7 linked regions of the Neurospora crassa OR74A genome follow. The main gene of each other region encodes a partner of the protein of the gene in region 3 in a complex. Links are inferred from orthologs where the notes say so. Each region holds a gene or a part of one and is shown on either strand. Other genes may lie near its edges. The genes, in order: NCU06469, NCU07057, NCU04336, NCU06768, NCU04171, NCU07852 and NCU02804.

Region 1 (4,154 bases), on a different chromosome or scaffold from region 3:
GCAACCAACAGCATAGCAATTTGAGCAAACGCGGCGGAGGCGTCAACACTGCCGCCCCTCGTCTCGACAAGAAACAAGTTGAGCAACGTATCGAGGAGGATCGTGAGCGGCATAAGAGGCTGAGGGAGAACATCTGGGCGGTGCCGAGCGGAGACGAGCTGGATAGATTGCTGGAGGAGACGTCAGAGTTGGGGGATGACGACATGAGGGCGATATGGGAAGAGCAGGAGGAGTGGGAGAGGAGTTTGCAGGCGGGGATTGGAGGGATTGGAGGGAGTGGTGGTGCGGGGTGTGGGCATACTACCTCTACCAGTAACGGGGGTGAGAGGGATGATGGTATGAATGGGAATAACATGAAGGAAAAGCCAATGTCGATTAGTGGGGAGATTGCCGAGATGGCGAGGAGGAAGCAGCTGCAGCAGCTGGAAAAGGAGCAACAGGAGAAGCAAGATAAAGATGTGGAGATGACTTCGGGTTAGGAAACCGACGGAGGAGAAGAGAACCTGGGAATTCAAGACCAGTAGGAATGACACGGGTGGTGGATACAAGAGGCGCGCTGGTAGGAGTGCGATAGAAAGAAGAAAATTGAAGGAGGCAAGGAGAAGGAGGTTGAGAATAAGAAACAAGGAAGTTACCGATACATGGGGTATGCATGGGATGGCGTTTATGTTTTTGGCTGTTTAGTTATCTTCGGTATCCATAAGCGAAAGTGGGGAGATACTATTAACTCAGAAGCGGCATCTGCTCACGGTAATATCGTCGACAGACTCTCATGTTTTCGCTGACAACCCGTTCTTCTATCCATCCCAGTTCTCGTAGTATGATATAATGTTACATGTTTCATTGCTTTTTGTACACGTACAAGTGGTATATGTTGTTGTGAGGAATCTGTGTCCGCCACTCCCCCCCTTTCCCCATGAGGATATAATGTAGATGAGACCGAGAATCCCCCTTTATGTGTTTCCCAAGGCCCTGGCATTTCTTCCAACTCTGTCCCGTCATGATCATCATTATAGGAAAAAAAAAAGAAAATATCTTTCCGGCATCTGTGTCAGGAAAAGATCTCCTCGTTTGGTTCTTTTTCTGCGGGGGAGGGACGTGACCATCCTACAAAACAACAACACACATACACACACACACACACGGCGCCTCCACCCACCACACCACCACACAGAGACCATAACCATAGCAACCAACCCTTTTACTAGGCAGAAGCAGCAGTTTAGTCCATGGTGACGGTGGCGCCGAGCTCCTTCATGGCGGCGACAATCTTCTCGGCATCCTCCTTTGGTACCGACTCCTTCATGACCTTGGGCGCGCTCTCGACGAACTTCTTGGACTCTACTAGGGAGAGGCCGAGCAGGTTCTTGACCTCCTTGATGACCTTGGGCTTGGCGGCGGCGTCGAACTTCTCGAGCTTGAGCGTGAACAGCGTCTTCTCGGCAGCGGCAGGGGCGGCCTCCTCCTCCTCAGCGGGAGCGGCGGCGGGGGCAGCGGCGGGGGCGGCAGCGGCGAAACCACCGACGGGGAGATCGGGGATGTTGAGGCGGGACTGTTTTGTGTAAAAGAAGAGAGAGAGAGAGAGAGTGAGTGTTAGTGTTGGTGCCCATGTACATGTGTGCGACTTGAGAGTCTAGGTAGTATAAGATAGGTCTGTCTGTCTGTCTGTCTGTCCGGGGCCGGGCCGGGTCGGGTCGGGTCGGGTCCGGGGCGCAAAAACATCCGGAAACCTTGAAACATGCTCCGATTCGGGTTTTGTGTGTCCCGGTTCCCGGCCCCGGTTGTTCTTCTTCTCGTGCTTTATTTAAATCGGGCGTACCTTGAGGCTGGACACAAGCTCCGAGGTCTCGAGGAGAGTCAGGGTGCTGATCTGGTCAACAATGGCGGCGATCTTGGGGTTGGCGGCAGGGGCGGCGGTGGACTCGAAGCGCTTCTGGACGAGGAGGGAGCTCGAGGCCCGGGTGGATGCGCGGAGCTGGCGGGCGGCGCATTGCGCGGCGAAGCGAACCGAGAGAGACATTGTTGGTATGTGTGTGTGTTGGTGGTGGTGGGTTGTGTGGATGGATGGATGGAGAGAGGGGAGTCGGACTCGGACCGGAGGAAGGAAAGAGAGAGGGCGCGCGGGGGCGGTCGGATTGGGGTTCTCTTTTTTTGGTGAGGGAGGCTTGCCGTCGACGTCGACTTCGAGGATCGTACAACCGAACCGTACAACAACTAAACGGAGATATTTTTTTGGGGACGTTGTCGCGCGCTCCCGGGTGCTGCGAAATCTGGGACCCACTACTGGCAGTTGGCAGCTTGGTGGTTTGGGCGTGCAAGTTGGATCTATGACGGCTGGCTGACCCGGAGCTGCAGCTGGAGGGGAAAACCCAAGCTGCCTGCCCCGCGCGAGTCTGGGGATTAGGTACCTCTGTACCTTGAAGTCCACTGAAGACGCGCTAAAGGATGGGCCCCTGTCATCCCAAGCGCGCCCCTGCTGCCGCTGGGCTGTTCGTCCCACCCGGAACTAGGTTCCACTTTTGAAGAAGATGGCTCCCTTGCCTGCCGCAGCCGACTTACACTACACTATGTAGAGTACTATGCAGTACACCCCAGCACATGCGCCTAGCGCTAAGTAGCATGTACCCCGCACTATCGTTCAGCGCGATAAGGAATTTCATGTGGGAAAAAGTTCCAAACGGGAGAAAGCGAAGTTCAATGGGCAAAAAAGTTAGAGATAAAAAAAAAAAAGAGACTAAGAAAAACATCACCGTTTTTCACAACGACGACGACGACGACGACGACGACATCCACGCCAACCCGTCCCGTCGCTTTTCCCTGGCCATGATGGCCGTGATCGATGTGAGCCAGCAGAGGGCGTCGCTCCTTAGCGATGCGACCACCTTGGACCTCTTGCCGCCAGAGTTGCTGCTCATAATCCAGGATCACCAATCGACCAAATTCCTCGATGCGATCGCCAGCGCCGCTCTTGTCTCGACAGCCACCGACCGCATCTTTACCCATTTCGAGTCTGTTTTTGCCGATATTTGCGCCAGATGGATTCTGTCTTCTCCAAAACTCGATACGCGAGTCCTTGCCGCTTTCGCAAGGATCTTGCCCTTCGCCCCGTCGCTGTCCGTCTTCCTCGTGTCGCATCTTCGAGGAGGATCTTTTGGTGGTGTTAATGGTGGTAACCACAACGACAAAAGCAACGACAATGATGCTTCTTCAAAACTTAAACCTCTCGATTCCCTTGACCTAGCTTCGATCCGCCCAGATGACCTCCCAATTGTCCTCCTAGCCCTCTGGAGGCTCAACAACTTTGACAAGCGCACCTACGCCGGCCTGTCAAAGCCATCCCAAATACAGACCCTGTTCGCACACGAGAACCCCATCGTCCGATATCTTGCCGTCCGAATCTTCTGCCAGCTTCATAATGCCGCCGATGTCAAGATCGAAGCCCTCCTCGAAAAGCACATACCCAAAGATACCAGCCTTGTCGCAGAGCTCGACGGGCGCGAAGCCGACTATGCGTTCCTCAGCCTACACGAGGATTCTAGACGTGAAGACATTCAGAGCTCTCGCAGTAAATCCCAACAAACTAGTGCGGTTGACGATGCGGTTGTCGAATTGAATATCACAAACATCCCAGAACAGAACCTCACTCCTCTAGTTGTCAAATATGGAAAGACAGTCCTCCCGCGTCCCCTCGGCCCTGTGACTGCTCCCACCACCCTCGCACTTACCCCGACGACTGTTGAGAACCTCGAGAACCTCACCGGGTGCCTGCAACGACCCGGGCCTATCCTCCTCCACGGCCTGTCCGGTTCCGGCAAGACCTCCCTAGTCCACGAGATTGCGCGCGAGTTAGGCAAGCAGAAGCAACTAGTGACACTACACCTGAACGAGCAAACCGACGCCAAGATGCTGCTTGGGCTATACACCACCGACTCGAAACCCGGTTCCTTCTCGTGGCGCCCAGGTGTGTTGACCACTGCCGTCAAGGAGGGAAGATGGGTCTTGATTGAGGATCTCGATCGCGCGCCAACAGAAGTCATGAGCACATTGCTGCCTCTCATTGAGCGAGGAGAGCTGCTAATTCCTGGACGCGGCGAGACCATACAGGCCACCGAAGGCTTCCGCATATTTGCTACTGTCCGGACGCTGCTCGGCAT
Region 2 (3,982 bases), on a different chromosome or scaffold from region 3:
TGAGAGTTTCGCCATCGACCAGCCGGAATATTGGGTGTTCATCGGTTCCAACGTCAACGAAACGAATCTTGCTCTGATAGCGGTGCTTTTCATTGCCACTACTGAAGGTAAGTATGCAATTTCCATGATCCTCAAGACATTGCGTCGACCACTTCCGAACTTGCTCGATTGAGGACGAGCCGAAGGTAGTGGTTGATGTCGGTTGGGATATCGTGAGAGGGCCATACCCCGATGAGCTTCCCAGGAAGTCCCTTATATCCGCTATCCAGGCTGGTCCGTTGGTGCACTGTCCCGACAAGGCTGGGCGGACAGACTGGAATCGTAGTGTCTGAACAGAGGAAGTCGCGAACCTTTCACCCAAGGTGGATTGCTCCTGATAGTTACTGAGAATCGTCAACTTCATGGGCAAGTCTACATTCTTCCAGTCCTTGTCTAGTGAGCAACGGAGTCGGATTTTTTGGTTAGCCTCGTACCACTCAACGTATCCTTGACGGTTTCCCACGATCATATCGGGTGGAAGTAGGGAGTCCAGAAAGACCCTGCACAAGTGACAGCCCGCCCCTGCCGACTCGTGAAGGTCACAAATGCTGAAATCCCGCAGGTGCCAATCATCTTCGTCGGCAAGCACGGCGTCTTCCAGGTCCCAGAACCACGGCCCAGTCGTAGGGAACACTGCTTGGCAACCATCACAGAGCTTGTTAAGCTGCCTGGGGGGGTAGCGAGACTTCATGACGGGTTCCTCTGCCAAGGCATTGTCGATCGGTCCATGGTTGAAGTGGGCAGATGGTTTCATGGTGTTGGTTGATTATGATTAGGTCTGTTGTGGGATGGGCAGATGACATGTCAAGGTATCAAGTGAATGAGGAGAGGCTTGCAGCTTCAGGAAGAGCTGGGTGGCCAGGAGATTCAAGGGAAAGAAAGACCATAGACAAGTTCATGCAAAACAAATGGGATTGATGGGGCGCACTGGCGAGTTGGGGCGAACTTTCTCGACGGGATTCGCTCGTTTGAATTCGGTGATCCCTTTGTATGTCGTGAAACTTGAGCCGAAGGTGAATTGCTTCATGCCAGAGAAAGGTTCTTCTGGGAGGCGGTGGTTGCTTAGAATAAAGTAACTGAAGGTAAGGAAAGGAAGAAACCCGCGAAACTACCTCTAGGTAGAAATACCCCTCATTGCTAGGCACACAACGCACCTTCTCAAAGGCGACCAGGCAAAGGGCAAATAGAGGTTAGGCAACAATCAACAAGAGTGACCTAAGCCCTAACCCTATTAAAATCCCCGATCTCGCTCCCTCAATAATCTAACAACTGAAACAAGACCCCCTTGAATCTCGGACAGGGACCATTGGACACCTTTGGGTATAGTCATATAAATCGGCCTTGTCTCTTCTAGAAGAAAAGAAATGTGACGGCGAGATCATCGTGACATCAAAATTCAAAGAACCAATCCGAAAGGGGAGATGTATCGTAGGCAGCTCTGAAGGCGAGTGTTCTTTGAATACGTATGGTTAGCTATCAGGCTGTATCTCAATGGTAGGAATGTCGAGACCATCAGCCTAGGTAGCAGCGTGGCGACTCCAAAGGCAGAGAACCTGGACATGTTCCAATTTCACATATGACCCAGAACAGTGGAGCTGCTAGGTGGTTGATTCCTGGTGGTCAGGTCATATAATGTACAGTGGAGAGTGGCTCGTGGTCCTTCGAACGGGTCTGTGTCGGCAGGCTTTCGGAATGTAATCAGAACTTGGGTATATATTGCGTTTGGTAGTTTGATAGTTGAGTGAGCCTCGCTCCATTTCCTCGCCGTGGTCTGGTATCGTAATGTCCTCCTCCTCCCTCCTTGAAAAAATGACGACCGTTTAGTCGAGACCGTTCTCCGACTTCCAGCGAGCAAGGTAAGTGGCGGGGTTCTTGGGGCCGAGCTTGTCGCCGGGGAACTGGTCGTGGACGGGGCGGATGGTCTTGGAGACGAAGGGGGTGAGCTTTGTTGTTGTTGGATCTTGTTAGCATAATTCTTTTTTATTCTCTTTTGTCCTCCATTCTCGGTCCCTCCCCTAGCACCAGATCCCCCAACACATCCCATTCCAACCCCAAACCCGGACGGAAATAGAGGACCACCCACCTTGAAACCGGTCAGGTCCGGGCACACATAGGTGCGGACCTTGGTGTAGTCGATCTTGTAGGTACCGTAGCTGGTGTGCGTACCCATGGAACCGGTGCGGTTACCCTTGTAGAAACCCTTGTTGACGTCCTTGGTGGTCAGGCGCAACTTGCGGTACTTGAGACCTTGGAGGATGCGAGTGGGCTGCATGGTGGGCTAGGAGGATTGCGCTTTGCGGGGCAACGACGACGGAGAATTGCTTTTTGTGGTCGGTGATCTGGGTGGTGGAAGCACCTCGCTGTGGTGAGGGTGGTTGAGGTGGGCGCAAGTGGGACGGAGACGGGATCCGCTTTAGAGTGTTGAAGATCCGGCGCACGCGACAGGAACGGAGACGGGACTCGGACTCGGACTCGGACTGGCGCTGGACAACACGGACGGCGACGGGCAACGGGCGACGGGCGACGGGGTTGGAATCGAGAAATCGCAAAGACGTCCGGGGCCGCGCCGGGTTGAGGTGGAGCCATTTCAGAAGTTTGGAGCTCAATTGAGCCAATGACGTGAGGCTGGGAGAAACAGGTACCCCTGTAGCCTGCTGCGGCCCCGCAAAATGGGTGGGTGTTGCGCCCTCACCGCCCGAAAATTATCGATTACAGAGGCGGCAGAAAAAGTTTCGGGGGAGCTTGTTCACTGGCAGAAAGTTGAAGGCTTGGTGGGAGTTGCCGTTGAAGGGACCTGACCACTTCGACCTCCAGGACCCGTGCAGGCAAAAGTTGGACATTGACATCCATCGATTCATTCCATCCAACCACTGGACTTCGTCGACAATCTCATCACCCAATTTTTGCTTGCTCGACCTCGAACTTAATTGACTGAATTACCTTCCGACTTCCAATCAGTCAATTCTCAAATACCAGCAAAATGCCCGGCCGTCAAGCCCACGGCAGGCCTCTAATGCCCAAGTCGGGCGGCGGAGGGCGTCCCAAGCACAGAGTCAACAACAAGACTGCCGATAGGAAATCCAGAAACAACGTCCTCGACGCCTTCGCTATTGCCGCCGAACAAGTCCCCCAAAAGAAAGCCAAGGGCGTCCGCACACGAGACCTCGACGAGCCCGAAGAGCGCCCCCAGAAGAGACAACGAGATGGCGACGACGAAGACGATGAGGACGGAGACGAGGATGAGGAAGATCTCGAGGACGCCAGGCCACAAAAGAAGAAGGCCAAAAACAGCGACGATTTCGAAGGCTTCTCCGACGGTGGCGAGGACAGCGATGGCGAGGAGTGGCACGTTGGTGTAGGCGCTGATGACGAAGATTCCGAACTCGACTCTGATGAGGCCTTTGGTGAGAGCGACGAGGAAAAGTTCGATGGCTATGCCTTCAGCGGGAGCAGCTCCAACAAGAAGGGCAAGAAGGCGAAGAAGGGTGGAAACGACAGTGATGAGGAGGAAGAGGACGAAGATGAGGACGATGACTTGGAGTCGCTCGGTTCCGACGCCATCGATCTCGCCACAGCACTGGATCAGTATGAAAGCAGCGAGGAGGAGGAGGGCGAAGAGGAGTCAGGATCGGAAGACGACGCGGACAGCGAATCGAGCGAAAGCGAAGACAGTGACGACGATATGGAAGACCCTTCCAAGCTCGACGACCTCCAAAAGATGATCTCCGGGTTTGCGGGCGACGACAACGACGACGAGGAGCAATCAGGCTCGAAACCAACAAACAAACTCAGTCTCTCAGATCTCGGCCTCCTTGGCGTCCAGGACCCCCACATGAAGAAGTCTCTCAAGCTCATGAACAAGGAGGAAAAGGCCGCCAAGCCTGGGCAATCCAAGAAGCTCGACATCCCCCTCGCAAAGAGGCAACAAGACAAGCTCCTCCGC
Region 3 (3,686 bases):
AATGACCAGCTGCATTGACGCAGTCGTAATTCCTGCCAGGACATCCATTCCATCACATCTCTGTTTCCGCCGCCCCGTGTTGTTCCTCAAACACTGGGCAGTTCACCCAATGACTCGAGTGAACACCTCAGCCGGTTGTGCCTTGCGTCCTTGGCTGTCATCCTCGTTGCCCTGCGTTTCAACTGAACAACAGAGAGTCAAGTATGAATCCCGCAGCAGCCCCGACCACCGTCAAAGCGGCCTTTTAGAGCGCCGCCGTGTCCGAAAGACCGAGGCACCGCAAAGGCATGGATGACAAGTCTAGGTGGTGTTGGTGGTCAGCTTTGTCTCCAGTGACTGTCCTGATGTCACCCAACCTTTTTTTTCGATGGACTGCCAACGGATATGGTAAACAGCTTTCTATGTCGATCTCTACCGCCGAAAACCAGGTCCTTATCGCTCGGTTCGGTGTAACCCATGTCGATACCCCGCCATGCTGCGGGAGGTAATTGCCCGAATGGTTCTAGAAGCCATTGAATGTAATTGCAATCGTTGCACACGTGTAGGATATTAAACAATCATCCATTTCATCTCGTTAGTATTGAAAGCATGAGATGAACACCATGGCGACATGATACCGGGGCTTCGCCTGAGTGGTAAGAAGTGGGCTGGTGGATAAGCACTTGGGCGAAGCGGATGTTTGTTTACAAAACCCCTTTTTATATATGTGTGTGATTTGTCTTGCAGTCAGCTTAGCCAAAAGCATTATAAACACATCTCACCTACATTCAGGTAAGCATAATACCCGTTGGGCGGTCTACCTTGGTGACCGCCAACCTTAAAACTTAATCCTACAGAGACAGATCCTCGTCATACGCCTGCGTGTTCCACAAACACAAGCTATGTGAGCCAAGGTTGACGAAGCTGGAGTACGTTGAGGCAATGCAAACGCAAACCGGCAAATGCCCATATATGCCATGCCTGCCATCAGCACCCTTTTGTGGAAGCCTTTCCCAAACGATCATACTCCGTGGACCAACCAACAGCTCCAGGCACCGCTGTGCATTTTGAGATTTTGCCATACAATAATGATACAAGCAAAGATACACAGAGCCACAAGCTATGGCTATAGTCCGCATCCAATATTGGTAACAATGCCGTGGTCTATCCACCTAAAAGAAACAACCGTAACGCCTTCGTGCCCCCAAGCCCGTATAATGTCTTTCAGCGTATAGCCTCTTTCAGGGGATAACGTTGATACCGATCGACCTGGCCTGGTAGATGACCGCCCTGCAGAGGCCCTCGAGGGGCAGGCCGGATAGACGGAGCTCGGACTGCTTGATCTTGGCAATCTCGTAGACATGTTTGAGGCTGACGGTGCCGACAACCTCCTTGCCGGGGTTGCTGGCGCCCTTTCTCTTGCCGCCCTTGCCTATCGGGGCCTCGGCGGCGTTGAGCAGAAGCCATGATGTGTGAGGGGTGCGGACATCGAAGTGGAACGAGCGGTCGGGCCTGACGGTAACACGGACGGGCATAGGGGTACCGGTGTTGATATGGGCGGTTCTGGCGTTGAACTCCTATACAGATTTGAGCGCATGTCAGCTTGTGTTGTGGATATTATATGGGTGGGCGCATGCAAACCGACCTTGCAAAAGTCCATGGACTTGATGCCCTTGGAACCAAGGGCCGGACCGACCGGGGGACTCGGGCTGGCCTGACCGGCGCCGACAATGAGCTTCACCACCTGCTCAACACCACCAGCACCACCTTTTGCGGCCTTGGACATTCTGGCGACTCTACTGCAGATACCCTCGAGGGAAATTAAGTTGGGAGGAGAACGGAACGGTAATTCGGCGCGTCTGCAGTCGCGTGTTACACTTTCGAGGTCGGTCGGGTATCCTCGTTCGCGACGGCGGCAGCAACGGCGGCGGCGACGCCGCGCGCGGCACCTCAAGCTGGGCCCAAAAAAAAATCAGGGCGCCGGGCCGGCAACCGTTGCAGCCAGGGTCACGTCAGCCACTTCTTCAAAGCCTCAGCCACACACTATTTAGTGTAAAGTGCCGCAATCAGTCCCTTATCGCCGCTTTTCAGTGCCGTTAGTGGCTTACAGTAGTACTAGTACAGCATCGACGCCGAGCCCGCCCGTCAACTGAAAGTCCCGGCCTCGCTCGTCCCCAATTGCTCTCCTACCCGTACTACGCCCCCACTTTTTTGGACCTCGTAGAACTCGCACCCCCTAAAGTGGGTGCTCACGGGTACTACGGCCACACCAGTAAAACGGCCAGGTCAGGGTTAGAGGTGCAGTTTTGAGGCTCGATTCGTAGGGTAAAGCACAACTTCCCAACATATAGAAATTTCTGAAAAATGAAAAGCTGAACGGATACATTACTCTGTCCTGACTATCTTCTAACTCTTTCTTTATTCTCAATTAGTTGTTGAAATACGTTGTGGGCGTTCACTATTTTGGTATCGTTTATCTGATTCGCACCTCTAACCCTGGTGGCCGTTTTAGTGGTGTGGCCGTGTTATTCGTAAGCACCCACTTAGGTGGGTGCGAATTTGCGAGTCCCAAAAAAGTGGGGGCGTAGTACGGGTACCGGGCGTGACTTGGATTGATCATTCCCGTCATTGCCTGCCGCCTGCCCTGCCGCAAAGGTGCGTTCGAGCTGCTGCAAGTCTGCAAGGGAACACAGCATTGCGAAACCTGAACGCTCCAAGTGATTGCAGACCCGCTGTAGGAACCTGAAAGGGTCCAATCGATCGTCAAGTCCTCAGGTGATGTGGAGAGTTGGGCGGAACAGTGACGTGCACCTTCAAGAGCCAGTGAGTCTTCTTTGCTGCTCGACTGCCACGCATCGAGGGCCACGGCTAGAGGCAGTCGGCCGCGGGGAAGCCCAAAGGTACGTACTTGTAGGAGATTTGGGACAGACTGGGTTGCCCCTTCTGTTTTCCATTGGCTTTTATCTGAGCGCGGCGCCATCTCAGCTCTGCCCCATCTTTCTCGACGGCGGTGAATGACTTTAATCTTGAACATCAAACTACCTGGAAAATTCTCACAACTAGACTCATTTTCGCCTCGTTGTCTTGACTTTTTGCTTCTGTAATCTATACTCTTCCCATTTCGCCCTATACCCCCCCCCCCCAGTCTTTCATCATGTTCAAGTGGGCGCAAGCGGCGTGAGTACTCCAAGCACCACCCCCACCATCCGCTGGACGCAGACCTCTAACGACTCGCTTGTAGGTTGGCCAATGTCGCCGGCACCAAGGAGCCTATCTACGGCCCCGAGGCTATCAGGTCTGTCGCCGAGGAGGCCAAGACAACTCCCTATACCGAAACCACCAAGGATGACCTGAAGTGGCAGGCCATGGAGTCCACTTGCGTCGAGACGCAGTGCTTCTACTTCATGACGGACAGCGGCCAGCTCGCCTTTGCCCAGGTCATCTACTCTAACGTTGCGTAAGATTCCCCATTGCACGATTCGCCGTCAATGTGGCGCGCTCGCAAACTTGGGCCTTGTATTGACCTGATGGCACAACAGTGGCATCCGCACGACTTGCCAGTTTAACTGCAAGGTCTTCTCCCTGGATGGATCCAAGCCCCACCTCTGGTGCTCTACGCCCCTCAACAACCACGAGTTCAGCGAGGACAAGACCAGCTTCTACGCCACCGATTGCGCCGTCGAGCTTTCGGAAGATGGAAACTCGTA
Region 4 (3,874 bases), on a different chromosome or scaffold from region 3:
CCCGCACCAGCAGGCATCGCGATCGGATGGGTGCGATAATGTTGGCTGTCGAATTGGCGAGGAGGATGAGGCGCAGGTTGGGCGAGTATTTCTCCATGGTCCGACGGAGGGCGGCCTGGGCGTCTCTGGTGAGGTGGTCGGCCTCGTTGATGACCACCACCTTGAACCTCTGCTTCGCCGACAGATCTACTTGTTGTGTTTGCGCCACCTCCTTGAGGAGGTCCTGGACCACTACTCGGTCGTAGTTTCCGACATCGGACGGGGTGATTTCGAGGTGGTACACTGATGCGACAATGTTGAACTCGAGCTTGCGGTTGCTGCTGGTTTGGAAAACACGGGCGTCGATCTTGATCTTCTCTACACCTGGGCCGTACAACTCCTTGAGGGTAGCAACAATTCGCGTCTTCTTTCCTGCGCCGGAAGGACCGTAGACGAGGAGGTGGGGAAAGTCACCGCTTTGCGCCTAGGAGTGTCATCAGCGGGGAGCTTCTTTTGCACGAGGGGAACAAGAGGGTCTACTTACAAGTGACCGTAACCTCTCCGACAATTCGGTATGATAGGTGAGGGCATCGAGAGACCTCGGCCTGTGCTTGTCAACAATAAGCGCCATCGTGGTGTGGTGATATTGTGGAGAGGAAAATGGGTTGACAACGGAAGGGGAAAGAAATGCTGGATTGGAGGTGCATGGGAGACGCGTCGAGTTGACGCGCCGTCCAGAAAATCAATTAACAGATGACGGGGGATGGCCGCACGGACCATATCACCCGCTTATACAGGCCCTGGGGTAGACAGTTGCCCACTTTCGCCATCAGTATTCTAGGCAGCTATCTTGAATCTCTTTGAGTTTTGCAACGTCCGATGCTGGATATTGGATCTTCCATGAACCGACATCTAGTATAGGGCCCATTTCATGGCATGGTTGAAAGGGTATATCTAGGAAGCCAGCATTGCTTGTTGACTCGATGTGGTGCTCTGGCCCATCCAGGTAAACTGGTAGTAGCTTACGGACACATTCTCAGAGCATTGAAATCAAAGTGGTGATGCTTGTTACGTCGTCATAATAATCATGAAATGGCCATGGCAACACTCTTTTGCACATTGGCCCTTCTGTTGTTCTACATAGTGTTACAATTAGAATAGGCTCAGGGTTCTCCACCTCTACGAAGGAGGAGCAGCAGTGCTTGATGTGCTCGCAGCACTCTGGGTAATCTCTGGCATCAACAACTTCTTCCTTGGGTTCTTGAGGTCCTCCACCGTGAGGCCATCCTCCAACTTGGTGATGCCAACCACTGGTGGGTCACCCTTCTTCACAAACTCGTACAGACCTATGACTTGTCAGTTTTCTACTCTTCTCAACCTCGCAAAGATTTTGGGCCAGCATGTGCTGTTATTACCTGGAAGCTTGTGTCCGGCCAAACGGAAGGCATCACGGATGACCTGTTCGTGCAATTGCCCCCTGATCTCGAAGATAATCTGGTTGACGGCAACTCTGGTCGCCCAGTGGTCGAACGAACCCTTACCCTTACCCATACGCATCTACACCGGAAATGCATGTGAGCCTCATGTCCGCTAACAGTCGGCATCCGGCCTTCCCGGGCTGTGGGTTGTTCAGCTGCTCACCTCGTTACCGCTGACGTACACACCGACGTTACAAGCAACGCGCTTGTACAGGCGGTACTTCTGACCACGCAACCTCTGCTTGATGGTGTCCTCGGCGAGCTTGAGCTGTTGGGCGCTAATTCTGCGGTGGTGATCGCGCATGCGCAGGCCGTAATCTCCCCAAACCACTGTTGTTCCTTTGGTCGAACCACCCGTCGGCACTCTGGGCCTTCCCTTCATCATCTTCTTCTTTCTGTTGAGGTTGGGCTCGAGCCACGAACCAGCCTGGATGGCGGTCGCAGAGAATAGGCGGACATGGGAGGCGACGGAAACGGGGGTCGGCGCAATGGGGCGACGGACGGCAGAGGTTGCGAGCGACGCGGCACGGAAGGGAGTCGCCGACGAGGATATCCTAAGGCCCTGGAAGGCGCTGAGGAGCGCCGAGGAAGCGTTGTGCTTCATTGTGTTGAAGGTTTGGGTGTGGACCGGACCGGGGAGGGGACGAGTGGTGGACGGAGGACGGAGGGAGGGTCCAATTGGATGCCGGTCGCCGACGACGATTGATACGGATTCCCCGAAGCAGCGCGCGCACAGAGACGGGGACCGGGCAGAGCGACTACCTGCAATGGAAGGTGCTGCGGGCGCGGACGGGGCACGGACGGCACTTCCAAAAATTGTGACCCACCAAAAAGTGTCGGGTGCCGGCCGCGACATGGAATCTGCCGGACACAGCAGACAAGCGGGACCTGGGACTCATTCATTGACTCCTCACAAGAAATACAGCTGCGTGGGCGTAGCTCAAGGCAGCAAGTTGGCGAATTCTTGTAGGACAAGGCCCCACCAGTCGCGACAGGGGAGCAGAGCCCGGACACAGACTCGCGTCATCCACTTCACCTTCGCGTCTCACTCATCATTCAATTGTTACTTCCGTCTTTACAAGGGACAAGAGTCGACCCGTTAGCTCTTTACCCTTCTAGGCCTTTTGTTCAACAACACTTGTTAGGCAGAAGGACAGCTGCCTGGACAACTCAGACACCAAGAACAAAAGTCCCTACTTCCCAACTCCGCCACTATAAGAAGATGCTTGCTGGTGTCATCTGATTGTTACATCTTCCCAACCTTTTGACACATTCAATTTATCATTTTGTATCCAGTGATTTCTTCTCACATACTCCATCATGCCTGCCGACATTCGCTCGTTTTTTGGTCCAAAAGGTGGCGCGCCGCCTGCTAAGCCGGCAACACCAGCACCCAAGAAGGAAGAGGAGAAGAAGACCCGGGGTAGTAAGCTTGAACCATGATCGCCATCACAAGCTTATCACGTTATATTAACAATCTTGTCGCAGGGCCAAGAAAGGTTGTTGAGGACAGCGAAGATGACGAGGTTGTTGAGTAAGCTTAGTGAAAAGCATCTCTTCTCAGAACTAGCATCTAACCAGCATGTGTAGAGTCAAAAAGCCAACCAAGGCTGCGCCAAAGAAGAAAGTAGCGTAAGTGTTTATGAAACACCTCTCAGTTCCATGTCATCCTATTCCTGCTGACAGACTATCTAGGGAACCCGTAAAAGGAGTTGAAACCGATGCTGCCAAGTACTTTGCAACCTCAAAAACAAAAACTGCTGCTGCGTCCCAGTCAACACCGAAAAAGACACCCGCAAAACCCGAGCCAGAAGAACCAAAAGTAGCGCTTCGAACAAGCCCGCGGAAGAAAGCCACCCCCGCTGCCAAAGCACCAGAGCCTCCCAAGACTACTACAAAGAAGACCTCGACTACGAAGAAACCCACGACGGCCTACAAGAGTTACGACAAGGATGACGATGGCGATGCCTACATGGATGATGAGCACGATGCTGGAGAGGACATATTTGCGGCGGAATTCAAGGGTGGCAGCAAGAGGAAAAAGGACGACGACTATGCCGAGGAGGACAGTGACGAGGAGCTCCTCCCCAAGCCCAAGCGAATGGCATCTCGCGCCAAAACAGCAGCCGTAGCCGAGTCTGACGACGAAGACGTCAAGCCTGGACCCAGCAAGCCGAACAAGAAATCTACAACTACTACGGCAGGGAAGCGGAAATCCTCGGTTGTTATAAGTGACGAGGAAGACGAAGAGGAAGAAGAAGTCAAGCCAGCGAAGAAGAAGGGAGCCCCCGCTAAGCCCCGTGCGCCAAGGGCAAAGAAGGATGCGGCGGTTGAAGAACCCGAGGACGTCAAGAAGATCCTCGACAATATTCCCACAATTGAAGCACCAGATGCTCCTCCCAAAGACCCCAACGTCA
Region 5 (4,376 bases), on a different chromosome or scaffold from region 3:
AACCGCCGCCAACGCCGGCCAATCTTACCACTCCAACGGCGCCCCCACCCCTAATAACAACTCCGGCCCTGCCACCGGCACCGGCGCCGTGGCCACCTCTCCGGCTCCCCAGGTCACCGGCTCCGGCCCCCGCCCCGTCGATCCCGAAGTCCTCGCCTCCCTCTTCGGCGGTCCCTCCGAAGCAGAGCTCATGAAAGCCGCCATGGAAGTGATCACCGACCCTTCCCCCGAGACCACGCGCGAAAACAAGTTGATCGCCTTTGACAACTTCGAGCAGCTGATTGAGAACCTGGACAACGCAAACCTTCTTGAGGAACTGTCTCTCTGGTCCCCCTTGATTTCCTTGCTGGATCACGAGGACGAGGATATGAGGTACCACGCTGCCTGGTGCCTGGGCACGGCGGTGCAAAACAACCAAAAGACGCAGGAACGGCTGTTGGCCATGGGCGGCGTGCCCAAGTTGGTGGACCTGGCGATGAAGGAGGGCGAGTCGGAGAAGGTGAGGCGCAAGGCTACGTATGCGCTTAGCAGTGCGGTGAGGAATTATCAGCCGGCTATGGATGTCGCGGCGGACGAGATGCATAAGCGCGGTCATGAGGTTTTGGTGAACAACGGGACCAAGGTGGATGCGGCGGATATGGATAAAGTGGATGAGGTTATTGACGTTTTGAGAAACAAGGCCAAGTCTGCTTAGAGCTGTCTAAGGGGATGAGTAGGTTGAGGGTTTGGGGTTCATGATGGGGATGACCAAATGAAAGGAAAATGGGACTGAAAAGATATGGTTTTGGTTTTGGCATTGGAAAAGGCGTTTGGTTTTTTTTGTTTGGAGATCCTTGGTTGATCAAGACGAATGGGTTCTGTTGTCATAATATCTTGACCTGTTCTGTGCAAAGCTAGACTGGGATATGGATATGTGGTTCTAGACTTGGGAGTTGTTTATGAAGCAGATACCCTTGACGATGTCCGTTTACACAATCCAGTTCACGCAATGATGACACCCTTCCAATTGTTTTACGCATTTGTGATTCTACTTCTTTGATCTTTGACCGTCAGACCCGGTGGTATTGTTCTTCTTCCGTTTCCTTTCCACTTCGTCTATAAGCCTCCTCCTCGTGATGTTGTTACAAAAGGTATATATACACCCAACATACATCGTCCTTATGTGGTTAGTGTATTCGTATTGTACAAGTTTCACACATCTCCTCATCCTCCTCAATTGTCATCCAACAACTATCATGATGCGAGATGTTGTTCATCATCTTCTCATCCCCCTTCCTTGAATCTCGTCCCTTTCTCAACCTCTCACGATCAACAGCCCGTTTGGCGCTTAGTTGCTGTAGAAAGGAACGCCGAGGGACTGGAGCAGAAGCTTAGCCTGCCTGTCGGAGGTGGCTGTCGTCTTGATGGCGATGTGGCAACCGGGAATCATCTTGGCGGGGTACATCTGGAGAGGATAGAAAGTCAGTAATCTGTCGTCAAGTCCAAGAAAACAAGAAGACGAAGCAGACGGTAGGGCCAAAGCCGGAGCCAGAGCCGGAACCAGAACCCTCCCTACTGTAGCTTCGGCTCCGGCTCCAACTCCAAACTTTTGTTCTCCTCCGTCCTCTCTTTCTCTTCCACCCATCATTTCCCAAGAAACAAACTCACATCATAGTTGCATTCCACCTCGGGAAAAAGCTGAACATCCTCCGGATTCAAACCAAACTGCACATTACCGCTTCCATCACCCGTACTCGCCGGCACGCCCTTCCAATCCTTGATCCGGGGGAGAACCAAATGGATCAACCGATCCATAAACTCCCACGCCGCGTTTCCGTAAATCGTCGTCTTGCAACCAGCCGGTTTGTTCGCCTGCAGCTGCCACTGCACCACGTTGTTCTTGGACCTCGTCATCTCCGGCATCGTCCCCGTCATGGCCAGCAGCACCGCCCGGGCCACAATCAACAAGTCCGGGTTCTTGAGACCGAGCGGCACGAAGGTGGAGACGGTGATTTCCTTGATCTCGGGGATGTTGCGGAACGAAATGTCGCGCTCGCGAATGGGAAGCTCGGGGGCACCGCGGGGCGCGCGGCGGGCACGGTTGGCGAAGTAGGGCGAGTCGCCCTCCCAGGCACGCAAGCGCTCCGTGGGTTCCTTTTTGGGCGTTCCCGGGGGTGTGTGGATGTAGGCCAGGGTCATGAGGTCCGAGGCCATGACGGTGCGGAAGGTTTCCTTGAGACGAGGCATGTTGAAGGGGCCGGGAACGAAGTCGCGGGCGATAGGGTCGGAGGAGGGAGGGGATTGGATGGGGTGGAGGGGGCCGCGGTTGTACTTGGGGGGGTGGTATTGGTATCTGTTCGGTAGGAGGTGAGGCATGGTGGTTAGCAACGTTTAAACATCTTGTTTATGGTTTGCGTATATGTATGTATATATACATGTGTGTGGCTAGCTATGTAAACCACGGGACGGAGGGAGAGTGTATAACGCACCTGCTGCTAGGCAACCTCGCCTTCCTGTCGGCCGCGCGCTTCCATGGCCTGAACTCCTTCTTGTCCTCTTCGCTGGGGATGGGAGCGTCCAATGCCGACCGTGTCTCAAGCTCGGCGAGGTCGGGAATGTTGGATTTGGGAGTAGCGGCAGCAGCGCCGGCACCAGTTTGTGTCGAGGCGCATCTTCGGACGGCGAACTGAGCAGAGAAAGGCTGAAGAGCGCGAGCCGATCGCGAGACCCCGCGGAGACTGGCCATGGTGAATTAGGATACCGAAAAAAGAAACCGGCGTTCGGGCGGACGCTCTGGTTTCGGAATTGGCGACCGTGGAGGTTGTCGCTTCGGAGTGGTGGTTGAGGAAGAGGGTCCGGCGCACGCGGGAAATCGGGGCCGAAGGTCTGTCACGGACGGGCAGAGGGCAGCGAGGTTCCTTCTCCGGCAAGCGCAAGGTCCTGGTCCCGCGTCGAGGCTCGAAGAGGTGCCGGTCCCCGTTGTGCCGCCCGCCGGAATTTTTTTTGGAGCCTCTGCGGAGTCTCGAACCGGGGCCAATGCTTGGCAGCACGGGCCAAAGCTGGATGAGTTTGGGGTTAGGGATATGAGTCTGTTACCCCTGAAAGCGTTCCTGGACCCCTGAGAATGCATCTGATGTGGTTGATGAACTCTAAATAAAGCATGGATTTGGAAATATATCACTATGTTTGTACCAATATAAGCGATTCAGATCAGGATTCCAACACATTAAGACGACATGTATGATTAGATTAGGAGACACTTGTATATGCGTACGCTTCCTTTGCTCGAAGTATCCTCCGAGCCACTAATAATTACATCATTCCGCGCACACCTTATCAGCATGTCTAGCAATAACAACAAAGTATGTAACGGGGAAGAAAGAGAAAACAGAAAAAACATCCAAGTATCATCATCACCGTCCAAGACTACGTCCCCATCGCCTCTCAATATTCTTCCGCCCAGAGCCGCTTCTTCTCACTTGTCCCACACCCCCATCACCATCCCATTTCAACTCATAATCAGACTCCCCATCTTTGCCCAAATTGGGTAACTTCACCTTCACCATCCCCTCGTTTCTCCTTTCTATACTCCTCCTAGCAGGAGAAGTAGTCCCAGCCGGCTGAATACTGTAAAGCAACAACCTTGAGCCAGCACCGCAGAACTCCGTCTTATCACCGACGCAGAACGACCTCTTGCACTCATACAGCTCTGACGCCGCCACCGCCGTGTCCGCGAGCGAATTGCCGCAGTAACACTCCTTGCCGAACTCCACGCCAAAGAGACTGTAGCCCCTCGACTGACAGCGTTCGTGGCACATCTCGACCGTCATGCTCGTGCTGTTGGTGTACGAGTGAGCTTTGAGAATACGAGCCGTTGAGTTGTCGATGAAGCAACCCTGTGGCGTCGCCAAGCGCCCGTTAACCACGGACGGGTTGACGAGCCGGGGCGTCACGTAGTTAGTTTGTCTGAAGACGTCCAGACGAGCGCGGCCACCGCAGCGTGTTGATGGGTCACCGGCGCAGGTGAGATTACAGCCAGTCTGGCCGAGGCTGTAGCCGGGCTTGAACTCGAGACCACAGTAGCATTGGGATTGGAACTCGAGGCCGGCGAGGGGGTAGTTTTGCTGGGCGCAGTAGTTAAGACATTTTTGAATGGTCATGCCGGCGCTGTCGTATAGGTAGGTGCCATTGAGCGCGCGAGCAGTAGGCGCGGCGGTGTTGGAGTCACTGGCACATCCTTGGTAGTCCCAGTTCACAACAGCAGGAATTGTAGGCGAGGCTGAGGCGATGTTCGTGGTGGAAGTAGTGGCAGCAGTGGCGATGGTCGTGGTGGCTTGAGTAGGGGCTGTAGTAGCAACGGCGGCGGCGGTTGTAGTAGTTGTACTAGTTGTAAACAA
Region 6 (4,216 bases), on a different chromosome or scaffold from region 3:
AAGGAGACGTGGGACCGCATTCTCTCCACCGACGTGGATGCCGGATGGACTTGGAAGAAGTGTGCCAACCTGGCGGCCGTTCAGGACGGTGTTGAACGCTTCGACGCTGCGTGGGAGGCTGCCCGCAACATCACGCTCAAGACATTTGCGGAAGACGAGTCGGCGTCGGTACAGAACACTATGTACAAGATGTGCGAGCAGATCTTGGATGCGGTACCCGAGACGGAGAAGACCAACTATTCGCTACCCAACAAGCACTACTTTGAAGTTGGTGAGTACCCCTTTCGCAAATCCACCAAAAAAAAAAAAAATAGGTCCAGATAAATTTACACTAACACCCAAAAAAAAAAAACAGATCTCAGTTGGCACAAGGGCCTCCAGAACACCGGCAAGGACGCCGAGGTGTACGCTCCCCAGTCTGGTCCCAACGGTCTCATCAAATGCGAGGTCTCTCGCTCGTAAGACTGTTGAACTTTGTTTTTAAAACGTCACACATGTTTCTTTGGCTTTCTTTTATGATATCACCATTTTTTTTTCTTCTTTTTTTTTGCATTCCCCCTCACGTTCCGAGGGGTTGGTTGGCGGGCAGGCGTACGTTTTGAAGGTGGAAAGATGATGATACCTTGATGCAACGGATCATCATGAGACGGAGGCTATGGACATCTTGACTGGCGCTAATTTTCAGGGGTAATCAAATAAACTTCCTATTATGAACAAGCAAGCATCCGAAAAGCACTGCTAGCTGCACTCTCGAATTACCAAGTGAAAAAATATGCCGTGAAATCGGTGAGGCTGACTTTTTGCCTTCGCGGGCCTTCAGCGTGTTGGACATGAGGATCTGCTCATCGCTTATCAGATCAAACAATCAATGAGTCTAAACAGCTCTCATGAGTCGTAATCATGGTATCTTGTTGAGTGATATATTTGTACAATGAGAGGCCCCCTTTTTCTAACCCAAGTTCGTACACTGTCCGTTGCGCGCTGGGCTCATGAACCGGCTTCCCATGTAATATACAGACTGACACTGGCGGCATTGCCCGTGAATCACACGGCCAAGTGGGCTGTAACAGACACAAGAACACACGAGAGAGATTTCTCGCCCCAACGAGGTGGTTGTCCACACAATCTTCCTCACAGTTGACAGAGTTCTCAGTCTTCGTCGGCTAGATGGTTCGTAACGGCTCGATGTAGATTCGTCCCTACATCTCTTTCTCTCCCGTTTCTCTGACACTCTTCCATGAGTAGATAGCCAGCTCCAGCGCCTTCAACCAGACCTTCACACCTCAAAGCCATGGTCGCTCATAACCTCTCCATGTCCGCCTCCCGGATAGCCTTGACAGCCTCCTCCCAACCTGGAGCGCCCACCACCTTACCGCCAAATCGCACCAAGTTCTCCTTGTACGGGTGCGCATCACCCTCAAACGCCTTGAGCCTCGCCAGTCTCTTGTCGCGCAGCCTGTTCTTGGGAAGCATGCCGCTGACGGCCTTGCGCAGCACCTCGGCGCCGCCGTGCTTCTCCATCAGCGCATCCATGGTGATGGCCTGTAGCGAACCGGGCCGGGTGTTGTGGCGGTAGTACGTCTTGCGCCACTTCTTGTGGCCCGTCGTGTACAAACCCGCGCAGTTGGTCACCACGACGTAGTCGCCGCAGTCGGTGGAGGGATCCCAGATCGGCTTGTGCTTGCCCATCAGGATGGTGGCAATGCGCGAGGCGAGGCGACCGAGAGAAGGGGGAGTGATGGCCTCGGAAGGAGCCTTGATGGTCGAGAGGGTGGGGTGAGGGGTGACGGCGGAGATGTGGTGCCAGACACGGGAGTAGGCTAGTCGGGTCTACACGTTCGTCGCAAGACGGCGGTGGTTAGTGACGGGTGGTGGAGGTGGTGGTGGTGGTGGCGGGAGGGCGAGCAAGTGCCAAAATTGTAAGAAACACGACGAAATTATGGGACAGTTGTGTCCGAACAGGAAGAAACTTACAGCTCCGACTGTTTGCGACATGTTGACGGTGTTGCGCGGTGGTGATGTAGGTCGTATACTATGGTGTTCAAGAGAGGATTAAGGTGGAGAAGGCAGGTATGAAAACCAGTGGGAACGAGTCCCTCATCGACTGGTGGTAAGTGAACCTCTATGTGTTATCGTCCGGGTCAATTGAATGACACGGGATCGGGCGGGCTCCGGAGTGTTCGAGACGGCGGGTTCGGCAGGCGCGAGAAAGTCCGGGGCTTGTCGCGGCGAACGGGTATCAAATGTGGTCCGGTATCACGGGAAGCAGAATGGAGCTCCTGCAGAAGGGCAGCAGCAGAGCCTGCCAAGCCCAAAAGCTGCAATCACTTTTCTTGCCGGAAAATTTCCACGTACGATTGGGGCACGACGGCCCGCTGGCGGTTGGCGGGGTGGCTACGGTGGTCCGCAAGTCTTAGTGTGTAATTGAGGAAAGCACTAACAAACACCAACTCGGCGCACTTAGAGCTCTCTTTTACTGATGTCCCATGTACCAAAGCCTGCACTTCCTTTCCCGGTACATATCACACGCTTTCGGGGAGCAGGATTGCCCTGGCTTGGGCCGATCGAGGAGCCGGACACAGCGGAGCCCCAGTTGGTCGCCCGCAAAAAGTGGTCCCAGAAAGGTGCCGTCGCTTTGAAATCAACATTTTGGCAGGCCGACATCTACCTTCCTGCCGTCTTACAGTGAAGATGGGAAAACGACATTTCGCACTCCAGTGAGGTGACTTCATGCACTCTCTTGTCGAGAAACAATGAGGAATCTCAGCACAAGAGTCGCATTTACCCCGTCTCTTAAGCATCCGTAGACTGGAGCCAAAACGTTATTAATTGTACCTAGTCGTCCCCTCCTTCGCCGAACGTGGGGCTCTCCTCCATCGCCTTCTATACAAATCCATCGTCTCACGTTGGTGTTGCTTCTCACACCACCACTTCTATACTGTCCTCAGTATTGTCTTTGCTACCTCTTAGTGCCTGAAACCGATGCCACCGTACACGGCCAGACAAATCCTAAGTATTTCTAGTCTAGCTTTAGCAGGTTTTGGAGGCGCATACCTTTGGCAACAACGCCAACAACATAGGAACTATTTTCAGTCACAGTCATCCCCGGCTGCTCCCAAATCATCAATCCCGAAGATAGCCGGCAACATGGCTTCCATCACAACCCCCTTCAAGGTTTGTTTATACCCTTTTACAGCCTCATTTTCATATATGCCTACATATGAGCTTCGGTCCAAGCCCTTCCTTTTCTTTAGATAAAGGGTCCAAGCCTGTCTCACATATCTGACTCACCTTGACATACTTCCAGAGGCACATCATACTAACTCATTTCACAGACTCTCTTCGCCGTGCCCATGCACTGCGAAAGCTGCGTGAACGACGTCTCCGGTGCACTCTACAAGCTCCCCGGAATCAACAAAGTGGAGGCCAACCTGAAGGACCAGCTGCTCACGATAGAAGGCACGGCCGCGCCTTCCGCCATCGTCAACGCCATCCAGTCCACGGGCCGTGACGCCATCCTGCGCGGTTCCGGCGACTCTCAAGGCGCGGCCGTCAGCATCCTCGAGACTTACCACAAGCCCACCCTAGACAAGATCACGCCCGCCCCGGGAGCCTCGGACCGCATGGTCCGCGGCCTGGCGCGCATGGTGCAGGTGAACAACTCGACCACGCTCGTCGACCTCACGCTGCGCGGCATCGCGCCGGGTACTTACCGCGCTACGATCCGCGAGTTCGGCGATCTTGCGCGGGGTGTCGAGTCGGCCGGCCCGGTGTGGTCCGGCACTGCTACGCTGACGGCCGACACCAAGGCGCAGATCTCTGGAGACCCTAACGCCCCGCGCGGCGTATTGGGAACGGTGGAGATCAACAAGGACGGACGCGGGAGCGTGTTCCTCAGCCACCCGTTCCAGATCTGGGAGGTGATTGGGCACGCGTTCGCTGTTGCGCCGGTGTCGGTGGATGAGAGCGCGGGAAGTACGTTGGAGAACGACGAGAATACGGTGGTGGGCGTGATTGCGAGGAGCGCGGGCGTGTGGGATAACGATAAGACGGTGTGCTCGTGCACGGGGAAGACGCTGTGGGAGGAGAGGAAGGATGAGGTTGAGAAGGGGATGCTGTGATTACCATGCGAGATGTGTATGGTGTGATGAGGTCACTTTGCTAGATGTACAATATGGGCAATGGATGGGTGGTTGCTAAGAGGCGGACCTGTGTA
Region 7 (3,652 bases), on a different chromosome or scaffold from region 3:
ACCAACACCTCCCCCAAGTCGGCATTCTCTTCCAGGTCTTCTTCCGTTAGGGCGAAGCCCCGCTCGTTGCCGCACCGGCAGGGGCGGTACCATGTGTCTTTTTCATTACGACTAATACCAGCGGAGGACGAGGTCTCGTGTGGTACGAAAACCATGTCGTCTAGGTCGATGGTGTCGATGCCTGTTTGGAAGTCGTCGTCTTCTTCTTTCCTAGTAGTAGTGAAGCAAGAAGAAGAAGAAGATGAAGAAGAGCGAAGGGCGGCGTCGTATTGGGTCCGTAGAGTGGGGGAGGAGAGGGTGGTGTATGCGAGGGAGATTTGGTCGATTGTGTAGCGTGTTTTTGGGGGGTGATGTCCTTTGGGGTGGCTGTTGGAGTGGCTGTTGGAGGTAGAGGAGGAGAAGTTAGAGGAAGACTTGTCGGGGTGGTGGGTGAGGAGGGCGCGGCGGTAGGCTTGTTTGATCGAGGCGGGGGTGAGGTCGGAGGTGGTGGGTGAGAGGGAGAGGATTTCGTAGAAGGTTGGTTGGGACATCTTGGATGTGTTGGTGGTTTTGCGGTTTGGTGTTCAATGTGGTGTTTGGTAGTGCGGCCCCGGGTATAAAATGGTATGGTTGTGAGACCGGTTTGGTGTTGAAATGTATCGACGTGTAAGTGGTGAAAGGTTGGTGGTTTGCGTCGAGCAGCTTTCGAGAGAAAAGTTTGTATCCCGCAATCACGTGTCTCTTTGCGCTCGCTGCCCTTGTTATGTTGCTGTATACAGTAGGAAATGTGAATAGGCAAAAAAAAGAGGATGTGTGATGTGTCGGTTCTCACGTGGTGGTTTGAGTCTTAGTTGTGTGCCTGGTATCGTGAAGTGAGTTGTTCAGAGAAACAAATTCGGGGGGGAAATTTTACTGCACCGTTAGACACATTACCTCGTCTCGGCCTCCAACCACAGTGGGGAACTCCGTCTTATAAGACGCCAGAGGACGTTCAGTCAACAACCGGGAAACAGAACCACATTGATGGCAATCCCCTTCCAAATGGCTTGAAATTTGTTGTACATTGTTGGTGATGATACAGTCTATGGACATGGCAGTGACTCTCGTTGTAATCTTCCCGACAAGCGACAACAACCGATCGCTTATTTGGGGAACTTGGTCCAGTTCCTCTTGCCGACCTGTAGCGAAGCCCATGGTTAACAAGAGTGCAAACCGCAAGAGTTTGGGCGCAATCCTTACCTTTTTCCATTCCCGGATAAGGTCGGGCATAGCCAGCATGGCCTCTCTCCTCTTCTCCATCCTGTGTGCGAAATCCACCGTCAGCAAACCACCACTTCCTCCCAACCAGCAGCAGCAGCAGCAGCAGCAGCCGAGGATCGACAACGTACTTGGCAACCAGTGTCCTTTCGTGCTTGTGACCCTTGACCTTCTCTCCAACACCGGTACCCTTGACACGGAGACCGAGCTCGACTCTCTTCCGTAGCTTCTCCTCGTTGAGCTTGCGGGTGAAGGGCAGCAGCTCCTCGACGCCGTGTTCCTGGGCCAGCTTGACGAGCTCGGCCTGTCGCCTGAGCGAGTACTTGGGGTTGTGCCACTTTCCGGTGATTGGGTGCTTGGTGGGCATGAACGGGTTCGGGCTCTCCTCCTGGTAGGGCGTCTTGTGCGTCTCGGGGTCGGCGCCGGCGGGCAGGATCGAGGCCGGCGGGTACCGGGCCAAGAAGGTGCGCAACCGCGGTGGGAGCGAAAGCGCCAGCTGGACGTGCTGCTTCACCGTGGCCGCCATGGTGAAGATGTCGATCGACCGGCCTGCTGGCGGTACTGTGTCGGTCGAGGTGGGGGGGGGGGTTGTTTGTTTGTTTGTTTTTGTCGTAGGTGACAGGGTCCGGATTGCTCGAACGAACCGGAACGGGGAACTTTGCGATCAATCGGCCGCCGACGGGACCCCAACTGCGAAAAAGTTCCAGGTCGCGAAACGGTACATAGCGACAGCCGGAAGTTACACTTTGAGCCCTAACCCGACCTCTTTAACCCCCCGCGTAAGGCGGGGCATGTGGAGACCCTTGAACAGGCACGACAGGGATCACCGACCTTGAACCGTGACATAACTTTTGGGCGGGTCGAGAACTGTGCTGCACCGCTGCTGCACCCCAGAACCACCCAAGTTCGCCATAACAACAACCCCATTCCGGAACCCAGCACTGCTTGGAAATCAACACGTTTATTGTCAACACTGTCGCCTCCGACCAGTCTCTTCCTTCGATTCATCACCAACTCCATACACTACCACGATGAGCACGACATCAAGACGGGAACCCCCAGACCTGGCAGCACTGCTGCGCAAGAAGAAGGAGGAAGAAGCCGCCGCCGCGAAACCAAGATTCATCCCCAAAAAGGAACGAGAGAGGCTAGAAGCCGAGAAAAAGGCAAAGGAAGAAGAGGAACGCAAGCGCAAGGAAGAAGCCAAGCCTCAACCAAATGGAACAAATCATAACGGCAACCGCATGGACGGTATCCAGAGTCATCACAACCACAACCCTCAACGAAACATCCCAACCGGACCCAAGGCGATGCGGTACGACGATGACCGGGGACCCAACGGCATGAGCAACGGTCGGGACTACAGAGACAATCGCGACAACAGAGATAACCGAGACAGAAACCAACGGGGCGCAAAACGCGGCGCACCCAACGATGACGAAGAGAAGCGAGCCAAGATGGAGAGGAACGACGAGGCAGAGCTGCGCGCCCGCTACATGGGTCCAGTAGTAAATCAGTCCACATTCTCGGCCAAGAAGAAGAGGAGGAGGACGGCAGCGAACAAGTTCAACTTTGACTGGGATGCCGATGACGACACTAGCCGACCCTTCGACCCCATCTACGCAGAGCGTCAAGAGCCTCTGGTCCGACTTGGTGGTTACGAGATGACGGAAGAGATGGTGATGCGGAAGGCCGAAGCCATCCGTCGTGGCGATCCCGAGACGGGCGAGGAGCGCGCCAGGCAATACCTGGAACAACACAGACGGATCAAGGAGATGGAACAGCGCAAGAACCTGGGCAAGCACTGGTCCGAGAAGAAGCTGGAGGACATGAAGGAGCGCGATTGGCGTATCTTCAAGGAAAACTTTGGCATTGCCACCAAGGGCGGTGCCATTCCCAACCCTATGCGCAGTTGGGAAGAGTCCACGCTGCCTAGGCGTCTGCTCGACATTGTCAAGAACGTGGGTTACGACGAGCCGACGCCGATTCAGAGAGCTGCCATTCCCATTGCCCTTCAAGCACGCGACTTGATCGGTGTGGCCGTGACGGGTTCCGGTAAAACTGCAGCTTTCTTGCTGCCTCTGCTGGTTTACATCTCCGAACTACCACCCCTGACCGAGTACAACAAGAACGACGGTCCATATGCCCTGATTCTGGCGCCAACAAGAGAACTGGTGCAACAGATTGAGAGCGAGGCCAAGAAGTTTGCTACACCTCTCGGATTTACAGTCGTCAGTATTGTGGGTGGTCACTCGCTCGAAGAGCAGGCGTTTGCTCTACGGAACGGTGCCGAGATTATTGTCGCCACACCTGGTCGTCTCGTGGACTGCCTTGAAAGACGTTTGCTCGTCTTCTCTCAGTGCTGCTACACAATCATGGATGAAGCCGATCGTATGATTGACCAAGGTTTCGAGGA

Evidence for each region.
Region 1: NCU04336 (region 3) and NCU06469 share a complex: the UniProt entries of both Schizosaccharomyces pombe proteins name them as parts of the mitochondrial large ribosomal subunit. The link is inferred for Neurospora crassa OR74A from reciprocal best matches to the Schizosaccharomyces pombe genes mrpl19 and mrpl12.
Region 2: NCU04336 (region 3) and NCU07057 share a complex: the UniProt entries of both Schizosaccharomyces pombe proteins name them as parts of the mitochondrial large ribosomal subunit. The link is inferred for Neurospora crassa OR74A from reciprocal best matches to the Schizosaccharomyces pombe genes mrpl19 and mrpl27.
Region 4: NCU04336 (region 3) and NCU06768 share a complex: the UniProt entries of both Schizosaccharomyces pombe proteins name them as parts of the mitochondrial large ribosomal subunit. The link is inferred for Neurospora crassa OR74A from reciprocal best matches to the Schizosaccharomyces pombe genes mrpl19 and mrpl16.
Region 5: NCU04336 (region 3) and NCU04171 share a complex: the UniProt entries of both Schizosaccharomyces pombe proteins name them as parts of the mitochondrial large ribosomal subunit. The link is inferred for Neurospora crassa OR74A from reciprocal best matches to the Schizosaccharomyces pombe genes mrpl19 and mrpl7.
Region 6: NCU04336 (region 3) and NCU07852 share a complex: the UniProt entries of both Schizosaccharomyces pombe proteins name them as parts of the mitochondrial large ribosomal subunit. The link is inferred for Neurospora crassa OR74A from reciprocal best matches to the Schizosaccharomyces pombe genes mrpl19 and mrpl23.
Region 7: NCU04336 (region 3) and NCU02804 share a complex: the UniProt entries of both Schizosaccharomyces pombe proteins name them as parts of the mitochondrial large ribosomal subunit. The link is inferred for Neurospora crassa OR74A from reciprocal best matches to the Schizosaccharomyces pombe genes mrpl19 and mrpl25.

Annotation. Positions count from the first base shown.
Region 1 is NC_026503.1:1,524,228-1,528,381, reverse strand, and holds NCU06469 (putative mitochondrial 54S ribosomal protein MNP1), read right to left. Parts: upstream 2,239-4,154; 5' UTR 2,021-2,238; coding exon 1,820-2,020; intron 1,553-1,819; coding exon 1,223-1,552; 3' UTR 689-1,222; downstream 1-688. Other genes in the region: NCU06470 (hypothetical protein), read left to right, coding at 1-479; NCU06468 (midasin), read left to right, coding at 2,824-4,154. UniProt on the Schizosaccharomyces pombe protein: Component of the mitochondrial ribosome (mitoribosome), a dedicated translation machinery responsible for the synthesis of mitochondrial genome-encoded proteins, including at least some of the essential transmembrane subunits of the mitochondrial respiratory chain.
Region 2 is NC_026506.1:333,713-337,694, reverse strand, and holds NCU07057 (hypothetical protein), read right to left. Parts: upstream 2,593-3,982; 5' UTR 2,312-2,592; coding exon 2,123-2,311; intron 1,983-2,122; coding exon 1,860-1,982; 3' UTR 1,087-1,859; downstream 1-1,086. Other genes in the region: NCU17062 (hypothetical protein), read right to left, coding at 1-793; NCU07058 (small nucleolar ribonucleoprotein complex subunit Utp14), read left to right, coding at 3,020-3,982. UniProt on the Schizosaccharomyces pombe protein: Component of the mitochondrial ribosome (mitoribosome), a dedicated translation machinery responsible for the synthesis of mitochondrial genome-encoded proteins, including at least some of the essential transmembrane subunits of the mitochondrial respiratory chain.
Region 3 is NC_026504.1:3,732,941-3,736,626, reverse strand, and holds NCU04336 (mitochondrial 54S ribosomal protein YmL19), read right to left. Parts: upstream 1,935-3,686; 5' UTR 1,766-1,934; coding exon 1,625-1,765; intron 1,557-1,624; coding exon 1,221-1,556; 3' UTR 686-1,220; downstream 1-685. Other genes in the region: NCU04337 (survival factor 1), read left to right, coding at 3,134-3,156, 3,221-3,436, 3,519-3,686. UniProt on the Schizosaccharomyces pombe protein: Component of the mitochondrial ribosome (mitoribosome), a dedicated translation machinery responsible for the synthesis of mitochondrial genome-encoded proteins, including at least some of the essential transmembrane subunits of the mitochondrial respiratory chain.
Region 4 is NC_026502.1:2,002,904-2,006,777, forward strand, and holds NCU06768 (mitochondrial 54S ribosomal protein YmL47), read right to left. Parts: upstream 2,298-3,874; 5' UTR 2,062-2,297; coding exon 1,621-2,061; intron 1,537-1,620; coding exon 1,395-1,536; intron 1,326-1,394; coding exon 1,159-1,325; 3' UTR 1,024-1,158; downstream 1-1,023. Other genes in the region: NCU06769 (activator 1 38 kDa subunit), read right to left, coding at 1-463, 524-610; NCU06767 (replication factor C subunit 1), read left to right, coding at 2,778-2,883, 2,946-2,991, 3,048-3,089, 3,153-3,874. UniProt on the Schizosaccharomyces pombe protein: Component of the mitochondrial ribosome (mitoribosome), a dedicated translation machinery responsible for the synthesis of mitochondrial genome-encoded proteins, including at least some of the essential transmembrane subunits of the mitochondrial respiratory chain.
Region 5 is NC_026505.1:5,079,248-5,083,623, reverse strand, and holds NCU04171 (mitochondrial 54S ribosomal protein YmL7/YmL5), read right to left. Parts: upstream 3,001-4,376; 5' UTR 2,726-3,000; coding exon 2,469-2,725; intron 2,333-2,468; coding exon 1,648-2,332; intron 1,445-1,647; coding exon 1,328-1,444; 3' UTR 996-1,327; downstream 1-995. Other genes in the region: NCU04172 (hsp70-like protein), read left to right, coding at 1-694; NCU04170 (hypothetical protein), read right to left, coding at 3,393-4,376. UniProt on the Schizosaccharomyces pombe protein: Component of the mitochondrial ribosome (mitoribosome), a dedicated translation machinery responsible for the synthesis of mitochondrial genome-encoded proteins, including at least some of the essential transmembrane subunits of the mitochondrial respiratory chain.
Region 6 is NC_026503.1:1,107,288-1,111,503, reverse strand, and holds NCU07852 (mitochondrial 54S ribosomal protein YmL23), read right to left. Parts: upstream 2,324-4,216; 5' UTR 1,996-2,323; coding exon 1,975-1,995; intron 1,831-1,974; coding exon 1,300-1,830; 3' UTR 685-1,299; downstream 1-684. Other genes in the region: NCU07853 (uricase), read left to right, coding at 1-271, 356-462; NCU07851 (superoxide dismutase 1 copper chaperone), read left to right, coding at 2,983-3,174, 3,336-4,121. UniProt on the Schizosaccharomyces pombe protein: Component of the mitochondrial ribosome (mitoribosome), a dedicated translation machinery responsible for the synthesis of mitochondrial genome-encoded proteins, including at least some of the essential transmembrane subunits of the mitochondrial respiratory chain.
Region 7 is NC_026501.1:9,064,029-9,067,680, forward strand, and holds NCU02804 (mitochondrial 60S ribosomal protein L25), read right to left. Parts: upstream 1,955-3,652; 5' UTR 1,763-1,954; coding exon 1,368-1,762; intron 1,280-1,367; coding exon 1,219-1,279; intron 1,158-1,218; coding exon 1,122-1,157; 3' UTR 949-1,121; downstream 1-948. Other genes in the region: NCU02805 (diphthamide biosynthesis protein 4), read right to left, coding at 1-530; NCU02803 (pre-mRNA-splicing ATP-dependent RNA helicase prp-28), read left to right, coding at 2,268-3,652. UniProt on the Schizosaccharomyces pombe protein: Component of the mitochondrial ribosome (mitoribosome), a dedicated translation machinery responsible for the synthesis of mitochondrial genome-encoded proteins, including at least some of the essential transmembrane subunits of the mitochondrial respiratory chain.